Nothobranchius furzeri: one gene and its partners. Each later gene encodes a partner of the first gene's protein in a complex. Links are inferred from orthologs where the notes say so. Each region holds a gene or a part of one and is shown on either strand. Other genes may lie near its edges. The genes, in order: dpm2, dpm1 and phosphatidylinositol N-acetylglucosaminyltransferase subunit Y.

Region 1 (2,392 bases):
CCTCTGATGGATGTTCTGGTAATAAACCTGATTCTGTTGAAACTAAATAAAGTTTACTCCAGATCAAAGAGGCGAGCCGCAGATCTTCATCATCATCATCATCACCAGAACTCACCTCAGAACGGACCGCAGCTCGGAGCCGGCTCGGTGGGTTCGGGTCTCTGACTCACATGTCCGCGCGGAGCCTGGTCGCACCACGGACCGGGTCCCACCCGGTGACACGCACGGACCGAACCACCGAAACGGACCGAACCACTTGCAGGAACCGGTTCTGCAACGTCATGCAGTGATGGTGCAGAACGATGAATAGCTGACAACAGTTTGGTCCAGCTGGAGGCTCCGGAAGCTTCTACACCCCCCACCCCCCCACACAGGCACTGATTGGTCAAGCTGAGGCTGAGCCTGGTGCAGGTCCAGATCAGGCCCAGGCCTGGAGGAGATCCTGGTTCCGGGTTCTGAACTCTTTTCTATCATCATCATGTCTGTGAGTTAGAAACGAGCGCAGATCCAAAGCAGAAAACATTTTAGTTTTATTTTAGAAAAACGATCATCCGGGAACTCCAGCTGCAGTAAAACACCAGAACAGCTGGATTTCAGCACTCAGATGTCAGTCGGTCTGCTTTGAGTGAACACATCTGGATGTGAAACGGATTCAAACAGGCTCCATTTAAACATTTACTCTTTCTAAACATTCAAATAAAATCTGGTTAAATCAGGTGAATGTTGACATCATCTAGACATGTGACCTCTGGTTCTCTGCTGCAGCAGGTGTGATCTTATAGAACCGGTCTGGTTCTAGTGAAGTCCTCTGAGACCTGAATAGAACCAAGTCTGAATCTGCAGAACGTTTTCTCCATCGTGTAGTACGAGCTGGGCCACTAGGTGGCGCCAACGCGCTATAAATGACGTCTGAAGCGGAAGGGCATCAAAGGGACATTTCTCTTCTTTGCAGAAGAACATGTTGTTTATAACTGCAGGAAAAAGTCTATTGTGCAGAACAAAAGTATGAGCTGGTGGTTCTGGTGTCGCCGCCAGCAGGAATAACCTTTAAGGGGTTCAATCCTCCTTAGGCCACTTTCTTTGGTTTGTGGTCCTTCCACATGATGAAGGTAGTGAAGGCTCCTGCAGAGGAAGCACAGAGTCATCTCCTCTCATCCACGGAAAACATCAACATCCCATATTCATGCGACAGAAAATAAACAGAATGTTTTAATGAAGAAGTTTATGAGTGAAGATACTGACCAACAAAGAGGACAAAGATTACTGCAGCAACACCTGGTAGGATCACAGAATATTCCCGAGGAAGGAAACATCTGTGCAGGGGGTGATCCGAGTCTACAAAAGGCTGGAAAGTAACACAAAGGTGACCTAATGAAGCTCAAGTCACATGATCAGATACAGAACTCAAGATGAGGACATGGAAGATGTTTCATTTAGAGAAATGTTAGCTGCAAACACCCAACAGAACCCACCAGAACGATGACCCAAACAGTGTAGTAGGAGAACAACAGGAGGCTGAAAACAACGAGACTCATCCCGACCGCCTGATCTGCTCCCGACGCCTGGAAGCACAAATGCAGCCTGGGATCAAGATCCAGCTTCCTGATCATCAACAGGAAGAATCAGAGATAAACAGTGAGGTGTTTGTGTGCGCGCGTGTGTGTGTGTGTGTGTGTGTGTGTGTGTGTGTGTGTGTGTGTGTGTGTGTGTGTGTGTGTGTGTGTGTGTGTGTGTGTGTGTGTGTGTGTGTGTGAATTAAATACAGTCTTATAAAAAGCTGCAGGATCCGGCATCGGTACGGTGGTTCTGGGAATGACTCAAAGTTTATTCTTTTAAGTATTATTTTATTTTTTAATTTTATATCATTTATTTATGTAGTTTATATCTATAAATATATTATCTATTAATATATAATAAATATATTTTAAATAGAAAAAAAGTGTAATCACCCAAAATAAACTACTGAAGGACTGGTGCATTTCTTGGTTTGGCCTAATGTCTTATTTAATCATGTTTCTGATGCCGTTCATTTAAAAACTCCATTCAAACTTTGAACACAAGACTTTAGTTCAAATCTGCTGATTCTTGATTTTGTTTGTTATGAAAATGTAAACAAATTAACCAGAAAGCTCTGATGTGTCACTTCCGTTGTTGTAAATACAATAAATCACAGATATGACATTTATTTTGGTAAACCATAACCCCAAACAAATAAAACAAATAAGGGCTGCACCGATTCTAGTTTGAAGGGCCGATACCGGCTCGGCTCACGATGACTCCTGCAGCACTGGTGATGTTTTTATTCTGAGCCTACTTCTGTCACCTGCTCGCGGATTAGGGTTAGGATTACAAACGCATTTCTTTTACACGCATTTGGATTAATAAATGATTT
Region 2 (3,766 bases), on another chromosome or scaffold:
AGGCAGCAGTGACACCATGAGACACTGGTGGTCCTTTAGAGCAGAACTAAACAGAGATTACATCTGCAAAAGTGACCACTGGAGACCTTCATCATCTTGAACTAACCCTTGGATGATGCCGAAACTTTACCTTAAAAACTGTTCAACCATAAGGGGAATCTTGGTTTGTGTACTTTTTGTTTTAAAACTCCAAAGACAGGATTTTAAGTCCAGAAATGTTTTTGTATTAAGTACAGCTTTTGGTATTGATCAAAACAAAAATGCTGTTCCCAGAGGGATCAGTAAAGTACCTTATTGTTTAACAATCTAGCACTGAAATCGTGTATGTATACTTTGTTATGTTTATGCACTGTATTAAGGAAAAAGTCAAGCCTTTTGTGTCTTTTATGAATTTTATTTGCATTTTAACCTAAACTGCCTCAAAGATAAAGAATAAGTGTATTCCATGGTGTAAAATGTTCTTTTTATTCCATGGTATAAATGATACTGTGAGAATTTTGTTTTGTATAGTTTATATTTATTATTTGGCATATCCATTTTATTGTTATATACTATCTACTATGTATTCCAAGTAGTTATTTCTGTTTACAATTTTGTGGTTTCTTGGTGTTGGCATATGTGTTGAGAGTAAAAATGTCACGTTATCTCCAATGTTTTTGTGTATTTTTAAATAAAATGTTTATGAATTCGTTGTGTGTTAGTCTTTTGGAACATCACTATATTTATTGTGTTGTTTACATTTTTCTGTGTATTTCTTATGGTTTATTTATTTATTTAAAGACGTTTTCAAGGTAAGTGACCGCGCTGAAAACTGTTGTCGGAACCATGATGGAGGAATTGGTTTCTAGGTGTGTTTATTTTGGAAAGTACAACAGGAAGTTCAAATAAGCCAAGGCGATGTTCAAGACTAATTTCAGCGTAAACGTTCGCATTTTATGACAAACGTAATCCCGAAGAATACTGTCCTTCCACATACCCAGAAAGTGTTCAAGTACATGAGTGAAAAACACTTTTTCATTGATCTATAATAATTTATTTGTACAGCCCAAGTATTCCTCTGGTTAACTAGTTACTTGATTTAGACATTATTAAAATATATATATTATATAAATATTGAAATGTAGTATTACCACTGAGCCAAGTACAGTTGCTTACTTTTTGCAAAACTAGAATGACAATGTAAGTTGTGTGTGTGTGGGTGGTGGTGGTGGTGGGGGGGTCTTCCGACAGGACGAAATTCAAACTGACCTTTATTTTGAAATACGACAACAGGAAATTGTACAGCACTTCTTTTAACTTCTCAACTAGCTTATAGTATTTTGAGCTTTCGCGTCTGCTATGGCTAGTCGAAAATCTTCGCAACCAAAGCGAGAGAGCCGGGACAAATACTCTGTATTATTACCCACGTACAACGAAAGAGAAAACCTGCCTCTGATAGTGTGGCTTTTGTTGAAATATTTCGGAGAAGGGTGAGTTTTTTTAAGCGTGCAAAGATGCGTGGCTAATGATAACTCTTGTTAGCGTCTGCTAGCGATGAGTTGTCACTTGTGTCATCGACGCTGATTTGGTAGTAGAGACACATTAAATCTGGATTATACTGTTAATTTAGTAGTTGCCTTCTAAGACGCATTTTAAATTTTGTTCTGAGTTTTTATTCGTTTTATAATGCTGCAGAAACCGACGATTTCCAGTATTTTTTCTTTCATTATAAATGTAGGTGAAAACTAAGACCTGGATTTACTTATCCTGAAATAAATATAAAGAATAATTGTACACACACACACACACACATATATATATATATATATATATATATATATATATATATATATATATATATATATATACATGCATGCATGCATGTATATATATATGCATATATGCATATATATATATATATGTATATGTATGTGTATATATATTACATATATATGTATGTGTATATATATGTATATGTGTGTGTAACAGTTAATTGCGTCTTTAAAAGGTAACTTGAACGGATTCATCTCTTGTGATTACATTCCTAAAACGTTTGTGAAATAATATTTAATGTTTTTAATAAATGAATTAATAAATTGATAAATGAAAAATAATTTTTGTCATTTTAAGTGAAATAGTTTTTTATATGTCTAAAGATTGATTTACAGTAATCTCTGTCGGCATGATAGTAATGCTTATTTCTCACAGTGGATATGACTATGAGATTATTATCATTGATGACGGAAGCCCAGATGGGACACTGGAGGTTGCAGAGCAGTTGCAGAAAATTTACGGAAAGGACAAAATAGTAAGTTAAGACTGATCTCTCAGCATGAACAAGATAAATTCACATTAAAGTTGCACCACATATACTGTGTAAAATAATTAAAAAGTAATTTGTTTGTTTTTTTTATCACAAAACTTTACAGTGATAATCAACAGTCATTAATTGTTAAATCCTTCTAATTTTTCAGGTTCTGCGACCAAGGGAGAAAAAATTAGGCCTTGGTAAGTTGGTAAAATTATTGCATTTCCTTTATAAACATTACCAGTGGATGTAATCATCCCTTCATGTTTTAAAGGCACAGCCTACATCCATGGCATGAAGCATGCCACTGGGAACTTCATCATCATCATGGATGCAGATCTTTCCCATCACGTGAGTCGATGCACGAGTGTATTTGATGTATAAAATATCTTAGAAACAAGACATCTTTTGAGTATCTTGTCTGGAAAAACACAAATGGCTAGTAAAGTCCAATTGAGTATTTATTTATTTATTTATTTTGTTGCACTGCTGTGTATTTTATTCGTCTTTATTTTATTTCAGCCCAAGTTTATTCCTGAATTTATTGAGTAAGTATAATTGTTTTTTATGTTATGAGTTGGTGCGTTTATAAAGACTCGCAACATTTCTGATTATCAGGGTAACTTTCATCCATGTGTGACGAGTCGGATTATTCTAGCATGTTTTAGGTAAAGTATCGTATTTCATTCACAGAAAGCAGAAGGAAGGTGGTTATGACCTTGTGTCTGGTACTCGCTATCAGGGCAATGGAGGTGTCTACGGCTGGGACCTGCGCAGGAAACTCATCAGGTAACGGCCAGTGAGCAGAACTTGGTCACCAGTGTCCGCTCTCCTACGCTCGATGAAAACGAGATTTGTTTTTCTCTCCTGTGTCTTAGTCGAGGTGCTAACTTTTTGACTCAGGTTTTGTTGAGACCCGGCGCTTCGGACCTCACGGGCAGCTTCAGGTAACTGATGCAAGAGGTTTGAATCGTCATTGACTAGAAAACTGAACCGTTTCCTCACTTTTGTGCTTTTTTCCCTACGCTTTTGGAAGGTTATACAAGAAAAATGTGCTGGAGAGTCTGGTGGAGCGGTGTGTGTCTAAAGGTTACGTGTTCCAGATGGAGATGATCGTCCGAGCCAGACAGCTCAACTACACAATTGGAGAGGTGTTGACCTACCACGCTGTTGGGTTCTTTGAATATTTGTACTTTGTATGAGTTCTTCTCAACGTTTCCGCTGAAATTAAACTAAGGTTTATTTTCTCCTCGTCGTTCGCAGGTTCCTATTTCCTTTGTGGATCGGGTTTATGGAGAGTCAAAACTGGGAGGGAATGAGATCGTGTCATTTGTGAGAGGACTGCTCACACTCTTCGCCACGACGTGATCAGCGATGTTCAGAGCTTCTGGGAGCTTTTTTTTTTCCTCGTTCCACAAGTTTGTCTTTAAAACAGAAGTTTCACCAAATTAAAAACAAGAGAGAGACGTTCACCACTTT
Region 3 (2,332 bases), on another chromosome or scaffold:
TATGCTACCCGGCCCGGGCCGACCCGGTACAGATGGGAATGGCCCAATAGGTAGATCTAAAGGGTCCGAGTTGGACAGCCCTGAATCATATGCTACGTATCACAAACCTCTCATGCTTTTATCAGACTGTGGTTCTTTTTACAAGTGTCACTGTTTAACAGAGAGCCTCCCCCCCCCCCCAGGTCGGAGCGGTCCAGCTGAGACTAAACAAACCCTTCTTCTTCAAGACAAAAGGAGAATGGCAGTCGCCTCGGCCGGAGTCTCCGCTGACCAAATTTTCTCAGGGCAGAAACCCTAAAAGCAAAAAGTGTCACTAAGGAAGGACGTGAACGTACGATGAAAGCTGTTCTTGTTTGTTTCGGAGCATTTTGGGTCAAAGGCTTAAAAGTTCGAGCTTTTTTAAAACTTGTTTTGTTTTGCATGAAAAGATGATAGTTTGTGTTTGAAGTACAGGCATGTTTGCTGGATTGTTCCTCCCTGAAGTACGTTCACATTTCATAAAACAGACATTAAATAGCTGTTCTGTGTGAAAATGTTTTTATCAAATAAAAGTAACTTATTCCAATAAAGTTGTTTATTCTTTTCTGCAAGAACTGGAAAAATCCAAGAAGTTCAGTTGTTAAATCGGTTACATTTATCCATTTTATAACAGGAGTTTGTTCAGTAGCAGTTAGCGTTTACACGGACTCGGTTACTATGAGTCCTACCTGCAAGCCTAAACTTCCAGACAAGTAAAACCCAAGTCTAGCAGACTTTAACAGACATGAAATAAAGAAAATAATGTTACTGAAGTTGGTAAAGGAGGTAAAAGTGCATCAGAAAACATGCCGTGGGTTGTTTTCAGAGAGCATCCTAGTTGTGTCTGAAGAGCTTGATCCCCATCCAGCTCCAGAGATGGAAGAAGACGTAGACGGGGATGGTGACCGGCAGCAGCAGGCTGTAGAAGCACAGACTGTTGCCGCTGGTGCAGCCTTGAGGGAAGTTCTCATCCACGGCTGCAGAGTAGAACAAGCCAATGAGTGACACGATGGGGACCAGTCCCACCATCACGGACAAGGAGAGCATTCTAGCAGATTAGCTTTACAGTTTTTTTCTTTAAAAAAATAGCAGTGCTCAATCGGTTTTCTGGCAAATGAAGGTCTTTGATAGACTTTCTGTTACTGTGCAGGTGGATTAGAAGCGTCTGTGTCCTTCTGAAGGAGTCTGGCCTCCTGGGGGATCATGTTGGGGATGCCGTCGATGATGGGATAGGCGATGCCAAGCTCCTCATTGATCAGCTCGTTGGTATTGGCATCATACCTAGAGGAAAGAAAAAGAACATCAGTTATCTGGAAAACAGATTAGACTGTTTTATGCGTTGGTTCAGTCATTTCTAATAATGAATGCCTAGGTCGCAGGTCGATGATAGACTTTGAAGTCGTATCATCCGACCTGCGGCCGTGTGTTTTGGACACCAGAGTGAAGAGAGGAGCGGAGCTGTCAACTGATCACCACCTGGTGGGGAGTTAGATCAGATGGCAGGGGAAGATGTCGCGTAGACCTGGCAGACCCAAACGCATAGTGAGGGTCTGCTGGGAACGCCTGGCAGAAGAACCTGTCAAGACGGTCTTCAACTCCCACCTCCGGCAGAGCTTTGACCGCGTCCCGAGACCAGTGGGGGACATTGACTCCGAGTGGGCCTTGTTCCACTCTGCGATTGTTAAGGCGGCTGTTGCTAGCTGTGGTCGCAAGGTGGCCGGAGCCAGTCGTGGTGTGGAGTGTGTCGAGTTTGGAGGCAGGAGAATCTCGTCTCTGCTTTTTGCGGATGATGTGGTCCTCCTAGCTTCATCCAGCTCTGACCTTCAGCTCTCGCTGGGTAGGTTCTTGCTGCCCCCGCGACCCGGATAAGCGGAGGAAGACAACGACGGTGTGTGTGTGTGTGTGTGTGTGTGTGTGTGTGTGGGGGGGGGGGGGGGGTAGATTTCACCTTTACACTGCCTCTAATGCAGCTTTGACTAATTCTTAAGTAGGATGTATTCAAACATAGTACATCCTTGTTTAATTGATGTAAACGCCCAAAACAATTTCCCAATGATGTTACTAAGCCAGTGAAAGAAATCCCTTAATTTTTGATAAAAATCCTAATAAAAAAGATCAGTTAGTATGAAAGGTGTTAAAAACTGCTGTGTCTCAATGGTCTGGCTTAGTTAGCAACACCATTTAGGAATGGTTTTGGGTATTAAAATCAATTAACCTGGCAGCTTTTGAAAGAAATCACTTCATTTTTTATTTAAATCCTAAAAATAATGATCAGATCTTGCGAAATGTGCTAAAAGCTGCAGTGTCGCTGACC

What was found.
Region 2: dpm2 (region 1) and dpm1 share a complex: the UniProt entries of both Homo sapiens proteins name them as parts of the dolichol-phosphate mannose (DPM) synthase complex. The link is inferred for Nothobranchius furzeri from reciprocal best matches to the Homo sapiens genes DPM2 and DPM1.
Region 3: dpm2 (region 1) and phosphatidylinositol N-acetylglucosaminyltransferase subunit Y share a complex: the UniProt entries of both Homo sapiens proteins name them as parts of the glycosylphosphatidylinositol-N-acetylglucosaminyltransferase (GPI-GnT) complex. The link is inferred for Nothobranchius furzeri from reciprocal best matches to the Homo sapiens genes DPM2 and PIGY.

What each region holds. Positions count from the first base shown.
Region 1 is NC_091746.1:70,780,023-70,782,414, forward strand, and holds the end of dpm2 (dolichol phosphate-mannose biosynthesis regulatory protein), read right to left. Parts: intron 1,563-2,392; coding exon 1,473-1,562; intron 1,346-1,472; coding exon 1,243-1,345; intron 1,123-1,242; coding exon 1,067-1,122; 3' UTR 507-1,066; downstream 1-506. UniProt on the Homo sapiens protein: Regulates the biosynthesis of dolichol phosphate-mannose. Regulatory subunit of the dolichol-phosphate mannose (DPM) synthase complex; essential for the ER localization and stable expression of DPM1.
Region 2 is NC_091755.1:48,132,818-48,136,583, reverse strand, and holds the start of dpm1 (dolichol-phosphate mannosyltransferase subunit 1), read left to right. Parts: upstream 1-1,220; 5' UTR 1,221-1,338; coding exon 1,339-1,469; intron 1,470-2,187; coding exon 2,188-2,287; intron 2,288-2,453; coding exon 2,454-2,487; intron 2,488-2,561; coding exon 2,562-2,638; intron 2,639-2,809; coding exon 2,810-2,835; intron 2,836-2,980; coding exon 2,981-3,076; intron 3,077-3,165; coding exon 3,166-3,234; intron 3,235-3,323; coding exon 3,324-3,438; intron 3,439-3,550; coding exon 3,551-3,655; 3' UTR 3,656-3,766. UniProt on the Homo sapiens protein: Transfers mannose from GDP-mannose to dolichol monophosphate to form dolichol phosphate mannose (Dol-P-Man) which is the mannosyl donor in pathways leading to N-glycosylation, glycosyl phosphatidylinositol membrane anchoring, and O-mannosylation of proteins; catalytic subunit of the dolichol-phosphate mannose (DPM) synthase complex.
Region 3 is NC_091744.1:85,184,353-85,186,684, forward strand, and holds phosphatidylinositol N-acetylglucosaminyltransferase subunit Y, read right to left. Parts: upstream 1,066-2,332; coding exon 853-1,065; 3' UTR 557-852; downstream 1-556. Other genes in the region: triadin, read left to right, coding at 183-317; pyurf (protein preY, mitochondrial), read right to left, coding at 1,158-1,299. UniProt on the Homo sapiens protein: Part of the glycosylphosphatidylinositol-N-acetylglucosaminyltransferase (GPI-GnT) complex that catalyzes the transfer of N-acetylglucosamine from UDP-N-acetylglucosamine to phosphatidylinositol and participates in the first step of GPI biosynthesis.